3 linked regions of the Nothobranchius furzeri genome follow. Each later gene encodes a partner of the first gene's protein in a complex. Links are inferred from orthologs where the notes say so. Each region holds a gene or a part of one and is shown in the gene's direction. Other genes may lie near its edges.

The links.
Region 2: the proteins of serpinc1 (region 1) and f9b are in contact, whole or in part, in a crystal structure (PDB 3KCG), measured with the Homo sapiens proteins. The link is inferred for Nothobranchius furzeri from reciprocal best matches to the Homo sapiens genes SERPINC1 and F9. Residues at the interface, in NP_000479.1 of Homo sapiens: Glu264, Asn265, Arg267, Glu269, Met283, Met284, Tyr285, Glu287, Met347, Val349, His351, Val420, Val421, Ile422, Ala423, Gly424, Arg425, Ser426, Leu427, Asn428, Pro429, Asn430, Arg431; in NP_000124.1 of Homo sapiens: Lys247, Val248, Asp249, Ala250, Phe251, Cys252, His267, Cys268, Glu270, Glu285, Tyr312, Arg358, Phe360, Lys362, Gly363, Arg364, Ser365, Leu367, Lys387, Phe388, Asp405, Ser406, Cys407, Gln408, Gly409, Asp410, Ile429, Ser430, Trp431, Gly432.
Region 3: the proteins of serpinc1 (region 1) and f2 are in contact, whole or in part, in a crystal structure (PDB 1TB6), measured with the Homo sapiens proteins. The link is inferred for Nothobranchius furzeri from reciprocal best matches to the Homo sapiens genes SERPINC1 and F2. Residues at the interface, in NP_000479.1 of Homo sapiens: Lys258, Glu264, Asn265, Arg267, Tyr285, Glu287, Gly288, Lys289, Glu345, Met347, His351, Ala419, Val420, Val421, Ile422, Ala423, Gly424, Arg425, Ser426, Leu427, Asn428, Pro429, Asn430, Arg431, Val432, Lys435; in NP_000497.1 of Homo sapiens: Leu389, Leu390, Cys391, His406, Cys407, Tyr410, Pro412, Trp413, Asp414, Lys415, Trp455, Arg456, Glu457, Asn458, Leu459, Asn506, Thr510, Trp511, Thr512, Ala513, Asn514, Val515, Gln519, Arg541, Ile542, Asp562, Ala563, Cys564, Glu565, Gly566.

Annotation. Positions count from the first base shown.
Region 1 is NC_091748.1:78,330,992-78,334,099, reverse strand, and holds part of serpinc1 (antithrombin-III), read left to right. Parts: intron 1-706; 5' UTR 707-707; coding exon 708-1,079; intron 1,080-1,611; coding exon 1,612-1,827; intron 1,828-2,056; coding exon 2,057-2,194; intron 2,195-2,403; coding exon 2,404-2,622; intron 2,623-3,108. UniProt on the Homo sapiens protein: Most important serine protease inhibitor in plasma that regulates the blood coagulation cascade. AT-III inhibits thrombin, matriptase-3/TMPRSS7, as well as factors IXa, Xa and XIa. Its inhibitory activity is greatly enhanced in the presence of heparin.
Region 2 is NC_091750.1:56,279,929-56,284,135, reverse strand, and holds the start of f9b (coagulation factor IXb), read left to right. Parts: upstream 1-1,370; 5' UTR 1,371-1,442; coding exon 1,443-1,530; intron 1,531-4,207. UniProt on the Homo sapiens protein: Factor IX is a vitamin K-dependent plasma protein that participates in the intrinsic pathway of blood coagulation by converting factor X to its active form in the presence of Ca(2+) ions, phospholipids, and factor VIIIa.
Region 3 is NC_091743.1:82,279,741-82,284,027, reverse strand, and holds the start of f2 (prothrombin), read left to right. Parts: upstream 1-1,487; 5' UTR 1,488-1,564; coding exon 1,565-1,634; intron 1,635-1,883; coding exon 1,884-1,964; intron 1,965-2,345; coding exon 2,346-2,425; intron 2,426-2,535; coding exon 2,536-2,560; intron 2,561-2,898; coding exon 2,899-2,964; intron 2,965-3,032; coding exon 3,033-3,141; intron 3,142-4,287. Other genes in the region: dnajc27 (dnaJ homolog subfamily C member 27), read right to left, coding at 172-258. UniProt on the Homo sapiens protein: Thrombin, which cleaves bonds after Arg and Lys, converts fibrinogen to fibrin and activates factors V, VII, VIII, XIII, and, in complex with thrombomodulin, protein C. Functions in blood homeostasis, inflammation and wound healing.

The DNA of each region.
Region 1 (3,108 bases):
TCCCTCTCAGTGCACAAATGACCTCTCGCCATGTATATTTCCGCTCGCGAGTCCCGTTCACACACGCGCTGCCATGTATATTTTCGCTCGCGAGTCCCGTTCACACGCGCGCTGTGGACCCAATGCGCGTGCACGGGTTGTGGCACGCTTTAAACGCCATATAAAACCGCTACTGCCTCAGCGCAGTGTCTTGGTAAGATTGACGTGGTTGTCGTGCCTCGCTGAGGTTTATTACTAACTCTAGACCACCGACCCATCATTGTGAGTTGTATTCTCCAGTGGGACAGCCCTCTTTGTCCACCAGGAGGTTGGGACATTGGTACACCTTCATTTATACCCTTCCACTGTGTTATCGGGTGACCACGCCAGGAAAGTTGACCATTGAGCAGAATTGATGGTTTATCTCTTGAGGTCCATGCAGCAGGGGTGAGGTTGTGCTCACTCCTCACTCCTGCCAAGTGGACCTCAAGGGATAATCTCACCTTCCTGATTAAGTAAAGAATAAATAAATAATAAAAACCGTGCTGGATGGCGGACCAGGGTTCCCTACCCCTGCTTTAGAACATCGGGAATAAGCAGCAGGAACATTTTCAGCTCATAAGATTAAAGGTTTTAGATCAAAGGGTGTTTTTAATCTAACTGACATTAAAATCTAGTTTGCTTTTTAACACACTTAAATCTGTCGTCTGATTGGTTCTCCACCCAGGATGAGGTCTACAGGTTCCTTACTGCTCCTGGCCTTTCTGCTGCTGCCGCTGCTGTCTGCGGCCGTGTTCCTGGACATCTGCACCGCCAAACCCAGGGGCCTCGCTCTAGAACCACGCTGCATCTACCGCAGCCCGGAACCGGAGAACGCCGAGGAGCTGACCCTCGATCCCGAAGAGCTGCCAGAGTTCACCAACCGCAGGGTGTGGGAGCTGTCGAGGGCCAACAGCCGCTTTGCCTTGTCTTTGTACAAGCGGCTGTCCCTGAGCAGAACCGGCGAGAGCAATGTCTTCATGTCTCCCATCAGCATCACCACCGCCTTTGCCATGACCAAACTGGGAGCCTGCAACCGGACGCTGGAGCAGATCATGAAGGTTTGCGTCCAGCGCGGGCTCAAACCCAGAGGGAAGAAGCTGGGCCTGAAATGGTCCAACAAAAGCAGGAAACATGAAACAGTAGCTGTAAAATGACGTGGGTTTGTTTGGAACACGGCGCTGACAGAGTAGCTAATCCCTGTCTCGTAACCAGAAGGTTGTGGAATTGAGTCTGTCACAGTCGTTGTGCCCTTGGGCAAGACTTAACCCCCCTTGCCTGCTAGTGGTGGTCGGAGGGACCGGTGGCGCCAGCATTCAGCAGCCTCGCCTCTTGTCAGTGCACCTCAGGGCAGCTGTGGCTGCACTGTAGCTCATCCCCACCAGCGTGTGAATGGGTGTGAATGGGTGAATGACTGATTGTATGGTGAAGAGCCTTGGGGGGTTGTATAACCCTAGAAGGAGCTGTACAAATACAGGCCATTTACCATGTTTCTTGGTTGTTTAAAGCCTGAAAACCCCAAACCTGATCAGCAGCGTCCCTCTCTGCTGTGCTTGAGTTCTGCCTCCTTCTGACATGCCTTTACTTTCGCAGGTGTTTGAATTCGACACCATCAAGGAGAAAACGTCGGATCAGGTCCATTTCTTCTTCGCCAAACTGAACTGTCGTCTGTACAGGAAGAAAGACAAAACCACGGAGCTTCGCATCGCTAACCGGCTGTTCGGAGACAAGTCGTTCTTCTTCAACGAGACGTACCAGAACATCAGCGAGACGGTGTACGGAGCCACGCTGCTGCCGCTCAACTTCAAGGTGTCAAACCCAGCATCACAGTTTCCTCTCAAACATTTCAGATTTCATGCAGCTGCTTCTCCGGTAATCTGATCAAACATGAAACAACAGAAACGGGTTTAAATGTTGGAGACGGCTGAATTCATCTGCAGTGTTTAACTAATGACCTCTGACCCCGCTTTAGATGGTCTTGTTGACAGAATTTCCACTCTTTACCAGTCGGACCAGTAACTCCGGTGTTCTGCGTTAGGTGGACCCAGAACAGGCTCGGATCACCATTAATGAGTGGGTCTCTAATAAGACGGAGAACCGAATCCAGGAGACGTTGCCTTCAGGGGCCTTGGACTCCACTACCATTCTAGTTCTGGTCAACACCATCTACTTCAAGGTATCGAAGCTGAAGTTCAGTGGAGAGTTTTAGTCCAGAACCACGAGGTTCCTTATGGAAAGATTCTGAAATCAAAAGCAGGACATTGTCTGCATATAAAGATGCTCTGACCCTACTGGTGCCCCTCCCCGGTCCTCGAGGACCGGGCTGGGGCACCTCTGGACGTGGACTGATGCCCACTGGCTGAGCTTTTATTTCCCGTGTCTCAGGGTCAGTGGAAGAACACGTTTCCCAAAGAGCAGGTTCTCCCCTCGGACTTCAGAGTCAACGCCAACCGTAGCTGCCAGGTCAACATGATGTACCAGGAGATGAAGTTCCAGTACAGGTACTTCCCCGACGACCAGGTGCAGCTCCTAGAGATGCCGTACCGAGGAGACGACATCACCATGGTGATCATCCTGCCGAGCAGAAACATCCAGCTCTCCCAGGTAAAGGTCCTGGTTCCCAACGAGGAAAAGGAGTGGTGGCAAAATAAACACAAATAAAAAAACATACATTTAAAATGTATTTATGATGAACGGGACTGGAATAAACGAATAAATGATTTTGTTTGGCGGTAAGATTTCAGGATTTCAGATTCTATTAACAAAAAATGTGAGTTTGGTTCGTGTTTGACACGCAAGCAGGTGACGAGATTTAAACGTTGTACATGGTTTATCCTTTTTGTGTGGTTTTATTATTTGGAGCTGTAAAACAAACATTTTAAAATCCATAAACAGTAAAAGTAAAAAAGAAAATATAAACAAATAAAGGAAAAACGTCTGATCCCAAAGGGAAGAGCCCACGCTCACTCGTTCCCGCCCCCTCACCACTCCACCAATCTCCCTAAAATAAACCAGGATCATTACACACATCCTGGGAATGCAGCAGCTCAGGAATGTCAGCTTGTCCAGTAATCAGAAGGTTGCAGGTTC
Region 2 (4,207 bases), on another chromosome or scaffold:
CAAGCTGGGCAAGCAGCTCACTTGGCTAAGCAGCCCACCGGGACAGTGCCAGAATGCCAGATAGGCCAGTCCACCCCTGCAGTCTGAGCCCATTTGCCTCAGAAAACAGAAACATTTATCGGATCAAATGGTGACATTTGATGCATTAGCACAGATCTTAAAATTTCATTGTTTTACCACTTTACAAAAACTTGTTTTTTTTTTCATCTTTTAATCTGGGAGCAAAAGCTCTGAACACATTGAGTCAGCTTGTATTATCAAATAATTTTGTCTTTGCTTCCAGACAAATGTTTAGTTGTTTCTGAAGATCTGTTAAGCATGCATGTTTAGTACTGTGCTAGATTTTTCACCTAGCTCTTGTTTCTTTGCATGCAGACCAGTTGAGTCTAGATGTTCAGTGATTGAACGTGTTCTGCCAGGGCCGGTCCAAGCATTTTTGGGATCCTAAGTGGTTTTCTTTTGGACCCCCACATCAATCAGCCAACACCAGAAAATTCATAATTCCTAGGCTTCACATTGTGTGTAACATACCCAATTCCATTAGCATATTTAGTTATTAGCTTATTTTATACTGGCTCTTTAATGACTATTGATGTTTAACCTTACATTATTAGAAAAGTAACACATATGCTATAATTAATTTGCATTTTTAAATTCAGTGTTATTTAATTGTGGTATATTAATTCAACTATTTAAAAGTTATATCTGAAGAAAGAAAAACACAGAATGTATAGTAAACAAGTCAGGACTTTGTTCCTAAAATTTGGAACACTTTGAAATAACTGAACAAAAATAATTACATTATAGAAAATAATATATCATTCATTTTCCATATGTGATATAATTGTGTTTGTATAATTTAAAGTTTTTTTATTTCCATTCACGCTATCTTGGTGCTTTTGAGGGCCCCTGGTGGTGCAGTTACAATTCAGCTTTATTTTGTTCAGAGCTACCCAAACTTCTCCCACATCGATATGTGATGGAATAGCTGTGCAGCTATTTCATCAACACTTTCATTGACCAAAACTGTAAACGTGTTTTTACCCGGATGATGGATTAAATGCAGCTGGTGAAATTCTCTTCTGCTTTGTCAGAATTATTTTTTTTTTGGTTTTATGAGGAGGGCATATTTTATTTGACAATGAAAATCCTCTGTGCAACTAATTATGTCTGCACATGTTGCAAAAGCTGCTCAATATGACAACAAAAACATAAAACAGCTGATAATATCTACACACACACACACACACACACACACACACACACACACACACATTCTTCTAATTTTCTTTCTCATTCAGTCGTTTTCACATGCAGGAACACAGAAATGTAAAAGAACAAACACACTGTGGCCACACAGCTGAGTAAACATCTACTTGTTGCACTTTGGATTCATTTCCTCGACACTGATTTGGTTTTTGGGCTGGTGTGAAAACAGCAACATGGTACGAGTGTGTTTTCTGATTGTTATTGCTAGTTTTCATTTGGAAGTACATGGACTTGGTGATGAGACTAAAGAAGAAAACTCAGGTAAATACAGAACAGACATCAGAACTGGTATTGATTGAGAGGTTGAGTCAAAGCTTCGAGATGACGAGTGTGACCACCTGGTTGTTGAATATTGAAACAAATTAAAACTTCAACTTGGGAATTTCATTAAAACATCTGTATCCACACCAGCTTCAGTTTGTGTGATTGTCTCAGATGTGATTTTACTTGACTTTAATTGATTTCAAGCAAGAGAATATTTTCTGCTGCTTATTTTACTTGCTAAAATAAGATTTGATAAAATGAAATCAGTGGAAAACCTTAATGGAATAACTGCAGTCTTTCTAAGTGTTACTGATGTAGTCAGTCAAATATATCTTCATGAACAAACTCAGTTTGGAGAAACAGAGATTATCTAATCAGAGTGGGGCTTGGACTCTTGTGTTCCTGTTTCAGGAAGCAGACATTTGTAGAGTGAGATTGGGAGGAGATTTACTCATTAAAATTTCATGGTATGTGAGCATATCGTCTGTGATTGGCTAACCGCATTGCTACTCTTCTGATGCCTTTGATTGCTCTTCTTTTTGGGTTGTTGGTAATCTCCACAAATCTGAAGGAGTTCTGCTTTGTTATGGAGTTGTTAATGCTAACAGTTAGCATCTGCTTGCCAAATCATGCTCTGCTGTCTCCTGGACGCTAAAGAATCACAGCTTTCTGTAGTTGCAAGGCAAGATGGGTGAACCAATGATTGCTAACTTACAGTGTGATGTAGATGTGTGTGGCCTTTTCTGACCCGAGTGTTTTCCCATTTATCTTCTTTCAACAGCTAATGCAGGAAAAAGGGGTAGAAGACTGTTTTCACATTCTGCAGGCATATGAAACTCAGTGACCAATCGTTTTTAAAGAAAACAAGTGTTTTATGTTCCTCAGTCAACCTCATCTTTAACAGAACTTGTATCTTAACATATTCAAGGTTTTTCCTGCAAATGTTTATGTTTATGTTCATTCATTTAGGAGACGCTTTTATCCAAAGCGACTTACAATTTATAACCTATAGGGCATGTTGTGATCTGTGGGAGAAACCGGAGTACCCGGAGGAAACCCACACATGCATGGGGAGAACACGGAACTCCACAAAGAAAGGCCGCAGCCGAGCCGAGTTTCGAACCTGCAACCTTCGTGCTGCGAGGCAACAGTGCTAACCACTGCGCCGCCATGCAGCCAATGTTATCAACATTATTGTCAGTTTCACCAGCTTCTGCAGCACATCTGGCTCAATCACTAATAATTCTGCTCAAAAATATACATAACATCCATTCATCCATTTTCATCCGCTTAGAGTCGGGTCGCGGGGGCAGTAGCCTAAGGCAAGAGGCCCAGACTTCCCTCTCCCCAGCCACTTGGGTCAGCTCCTCGGAGGGAATCTCTCAAAGCATTCCCTGGCCACGTGACAGATATAGTCCCTCCACCATGTCCTGGGTCTACCTTTAGGACTCCTCCCGGTTGGACGTGCACGGAAACCTCACCAGGGACGCGTCCAGGAGGCATCCTGACCAGATGCCCGAGCCACCTCAAATGGCTCCTCTCGATGTGGAGGAGCAGCGGGTCTACTCCGAGCCCCTCCCGAATGACAGAGTTTCTCACCCTATCTCTAAGGGAGAGCCCAGCCACTCTTCAGAGAAAACTCATTTCGGCCGCATGTATCCGCGATCTCGTTCTTTCGGTCACTACCCAAAGCTCATGACCATAGGTGAGGGTAGGAACGTAGATCGACCGCCTTCTGACTCAGCTCTCTCTTCACCATGACAGACCAGTACAACGACTGCATCACTGCAGATGCAGCACCAATCCGCCTATCGATCTCACGCTCCAGTTTTCCCTCACTCGTGAACAAGACCCGGAGATACTTGAACTCCTCCACTTGGGGCAGGACCTCATCCCTGACCCAGAGAAGGCATTCTATCCTTTTCCGAATCAAGACCATGGTCTCAGTTTAAAGGAGCTGATTCTAATCCCAGCTGTTTCACACTCGGCTGTGCTTAGAAATCCTGTCCATAAAGGTTATGAACAGAATTGGTGACACGGAATCCAACTCTCACTGGGAACGAGCCCGACTTACTGCCAGCAATGCGGACCAAGCTCTGACACCAGTCATACAGGGACCTAACAGCCCATATCAGAGGGCCTGGTACCCCATACTCCCTGTGTACCCCCCACAGGGCCCCCCGAAGGACGCGGTCAAACGCCTTCTCTAAATCCACTAATGTAGACTGGTTGGGCAAATTCCCATGCACCCTCCAGGATCCCCCAAGGGTATAGAGCTGGTCCAGTGTTCCACGGCCAGGACGAAAACCACATTGCTCTTCCTGAATCTGAGGTTCAACAAGCCGATGGACCCTCCTCTCCAGAACCCCTGAATAGACCTTACCAGGAAGGCTCAGGAGTGTGATCCCCCTGTAGTTGGAACACACCCTGCGGTCCCCCTTTTTAACTAAGGGGACCACCACCCCGGTCTACCAGTCCAGTGGACTGCCCCCGATGTCCACGCGATATTGCAGAGCCGCGTCAGCCAACACAGCCCCACAACATCCAGAGCCTTGAGGAACTCTGGGCGAATCTCATCCACCACTGGAGCCTTGCCACAGAGGAGCTTTTTAACCACCTCAGTGACCTCAGAACCAGAGATTTGAAAGGCCAACCCAAAGTCCGCAGACTCTGC
Region 3 (4,287 bases), on another chromosome or scaffold:
AAACACAAGTCTAATATAAACACATACACGAATTAATATGATGGTTTCGAATTATTACAAGGTGAAAATACAAAGTACAACAACACATTTTTCAGCAGCCCAAAGTGCCACAACTCAAATGCACCAAACTTGATTTGAAATTAGGGCTAAAATAAACAGAACAACTCGTACCTTCCCCACTTCAGCATTTCCGAGGCTGATGACTTTAACCCGCAGAGACTTCTTGTTGTCACGTCTTTTCGGTGCATTTGTTTCCATTTAGACTGATTAACGCAGGGTTTTTTGCAGCAGAGCGGGCAGCTGCGACAGCAGGTGCTGTTGTTAGCGGGGCTAACAAGACTAACGTTCCGTTAGCTATCTGGCTAATAACGAGCACCACCCTGAAACCGAACGATCATCTGGTTAATTAACCACAGCACATTATTTAACATTGATACTGATCTTGTTGTTGGGGCTAAGCTGTTGTCGAAGCGCATATCAGACCCGAAGAGCTAGCTAGCATCATAGCATTCTCTTTCTTCTTCTCTTCTGTAACTCCTGTAGAATGACGCAGCGTTCCAGTAGTGCTGCCCTCCTCCGGACAACAAAACCCACTACATTTACGTTGAATGAAATCCATCAGATTTCTAGAAATTCTGGTTTTTATTATTTTCTCCGCGGTTTAGTCTTTAACTCAGTCAGTATAAATTTCAAAATGTCTTCTATTTATTTACCAATACTAACCAACTATGCTGGAGGATATTTGCAGCCCAATCCAAACATACTATGCCTATAAGAAGAATATTATATTATATAAGAATACGATGTATTTTACTCATTATAATGCTCAGCTGTATGCTAATTGTCCTAATATTTATAACATTTTTATGAGTTTACACCACAAAAGAGAATCCAGTTTCCCCTGGGTAGCTGCTGGGAATGTGACACTTTCTACTCCTCCCTCACTGATTCTCTTTTCAGATTTTTATTTTAACAAACTCAGATACACCAAAAACTAACAGCAGTGAAATAACATAGCCATTAGGTTCACTCAGCAGATGTAAGGTTTCTAGTTGAGTTAGTATTAAATTTGTGATTTTGACTCTTCTGTCTGAATGCTGCACTTTCACCTTCGTATCTGCCCGTAAATATTTGATTGGAGTCACACGGAGAACAGATCAATAACCAGCTGCAGAACTTGTTATTCAATCCTTCTTCTGTTCTGACACGATGTGGTTTACCTGCTCAGGATGAGAACGTGACCTCTGACCTGAGCTGCTGCTCCAGTTTTGACTGAAGATGAGATTCTGACTATCCCAGGTCAAAGACACAGACTGAAACTTTTTGCACACTTAAGGAATTTATCCCCAAAGATCACAGGTACAAAATCCTAGAATCTGATTCTAGACCGGTTCTGGACCAGGTTTCCCGGTTTCCTGTGAACAGAACCGGAACCCCGCTGACACATGGGACTGACCTACTGAGTCACACTTTGACCCTTTGGTAAATACTCCCCCACCCCTTCAGGGATCAGACGGCGACTCCGAGCGACAGAGTGAACACTACTGAATCACGGTTCTGGATCATGGTGGAACCATCCAAACGGGCTGCTGTTCTGCTGCTGTTGGTGCTGCACGGCTACGCTGCTCACGATGGTACCGACCTGTTATTCTGTCACCGCAGGAGAACTGGATCTGGTTCTGGGTTTTATGAGTTCTGTTTGTCAGGTCTGGAGCAGATGATCCAGTTTAACCCGTCTGAATCAGAGCTGTTAACATCAGTGGTGAAGAGGAACGAGAGGGCAGAACCTAAAATGATTTAATCCCTAATCTGACCTGAATTATGACACTAACAGAAACTGAACGTCCTGCCAGCAGCTTTGATCTTTTCTTTATTCTTCCCAGTTTTTCTCAACAGCCAGCAAGCGTTGCAGGTGCTGGTCCGAAGCAGACGAGCCAATCATTTGTTTGAGGAGATGAAACCAGGTACCTGTTTGACCTCTGACCTCTACATCATTAACCATCTGTTTACGATTCAATTATATTTTAAACAATCTGTAACAGTTTTACCCCGTGAATCGAAGCCATATCTGTCAGAGCCATCCCTCTTAAACAGGATTAGTACATTCCTCAGGCACCTGCTGGATTAAACACCATGTGTGGCTTCTGCCTTCTAGTGGACAATTTAAGTTCTCCAGATGTAAAGCGATGAATTTAATCTTTCTTGTTTTTAAAAGTAAAACCAATAAATCATTCAACAAAAAAATGTAGATTATTTCACATGTCACTGAAACAAAACTTGATTTAATACCAGATTACTGCTCAGTTTGTTTCCACGGTAACCACATATTCATGTGTTCACCTCAGGAAACCTGGAGAGGGAGTGTGTTGAAGAAATCTGCGACAACGAAGAAGCCAGAGAGGTGTTCGAGCAGGGCGATAAAACGGTGAGCCTTCCAACAGACTTGACATCAAATTAACTTTAATCTGAGATTAAATCAGATTAATCTCAGATTAAAATCTGAGATTAACTCAGAATCAAACTGTTCTTTTTCAGGCGGATTTCTGGACAACATACCTGGGTAAGCTCTGCTGGTACACTGCTTTTATTCATGGACACCTGCAGATATTTTTATTCAGTTTTATGGAAACAGATTTGTAGTCCTGGTTTCATCTTCTGATCAAAGAGATAAAACCAAACCTTCTCAAATTGTCCTCAAGTTGAAAATAATAAATCAACAAAAGTTTTTATTTCTGTGTCAGATAAATGATGCAGCTTTCCATGTAAATACTTTAGAGTTTTGGTTAGCTTTGGTTACTAGACTCAGATCAGAGAAGGTGAGTTTATTCAGCTGCTCAGCAAACAAGAACAAAGTCCAGAAGACTTCGGCACACAAACATGTCACGGCTCTTTCCACAGACTGTAAAGGAACCCAGACCAAACGAACACAAAACAGCATCCCCCTGATCAGAAAGTGCATCACAGGTAAACGTTAACCAGTCAAAGCGTTACCTGGTCATGTGATGCTAATGCTAACAGCCTGGTGTCTGCAGGCTACTGCATCTCCGGAAACGGCTTCAACTACAAAGGACAAGTCAACATCACACAATCGGGAAAGCTGTGTCAACACTGGAAACACAACTTCCCCCATCCTATCAGCAGGTAACCAGGGTCAGAGTAAACCAACCAAATTAAACCAGACTAACCAGTATAACCAATCGGAATGTAAGAAAATATCAATATGGCCAGGGGTGCACATCATATTTTTGGGTTGGTACTCAGGGGAGAACCTATGGCTGCTGCTTGGTCCTCACATTTTTAATGCACTTAATTCTTAACTCAACTCACAATAGGAACAAAACAGAGTAACGCGTTAACGATGCAACATATTTTTATTTTGTCTGAAAACAATAAGTACAACAGGTATATATTGCCAGCTTAACTTAAACCTTCTAATTTTCAAATAACATGACTGAATTGTCTGAATGTAAAACACAATGTGTAAACAGCTGCTTTTGTGATAACAAAAATCGAATAAAATAAATTTTAAAGCACTTAACAAAATTACTATTTCAGAGCACTAAAGTTTTTTAAATGGCATAAATGCCGTTTTTATTTCTACAGACTCTCATCATCCTCATCATGGTCCGGACTGCGTTCAGCTTCATTTCTGACTTCTCGAACAACTTTCTGATGTTCTCTGCTGTTAGCATGTTTATCAAACGCTGGATGATTGAAGTTTTGAGTGCCTATGTAAAAGGCGCTGTTTTTGTCTGCCAGGGTGGGATTTTCACAGCATAATCTGCATCACATCTCTGCGCGTTCATCGTTTTTTTGAAGCCAGCTGACCTCCTGCAGCCACTTCTCCGCGAATATTCTTGTCTTTTGCGGTTCTGACGCAGTCTGACGTTTTTTTTTTTTTTTGGAGGCGGAGGAACATCAAAATAATTACTTAATGGAGCTTGCTACTTGGACATCTTTAAAATGCTCCAGAAATGGCTTCCTTCCTCCAGAAAGTCTTATGGGCCATTCCCATCTGTACCGGGTCGGCCCGGGCCGGGTAGCGTAGGTTGTTTACATATCTGGGTGGCCTGGTATTTTTCCGGGCCAACCAAGGCTCATTCTCAGCCCTCTTCTTGAGAGGGTCTGCTTCAGGCCGACCAGGGCCAACACGCCCACTGCTGACAGCAAATTCACACCTTCCATTAGAGCAAGCCTCTGATTGGTGGGTAGAATCAGCCCACATGGGCTTAAGGCAAGGATGTGTGGAATCAACCGGGCCAGGCTGGGGCCGACTGGGGCTACCCG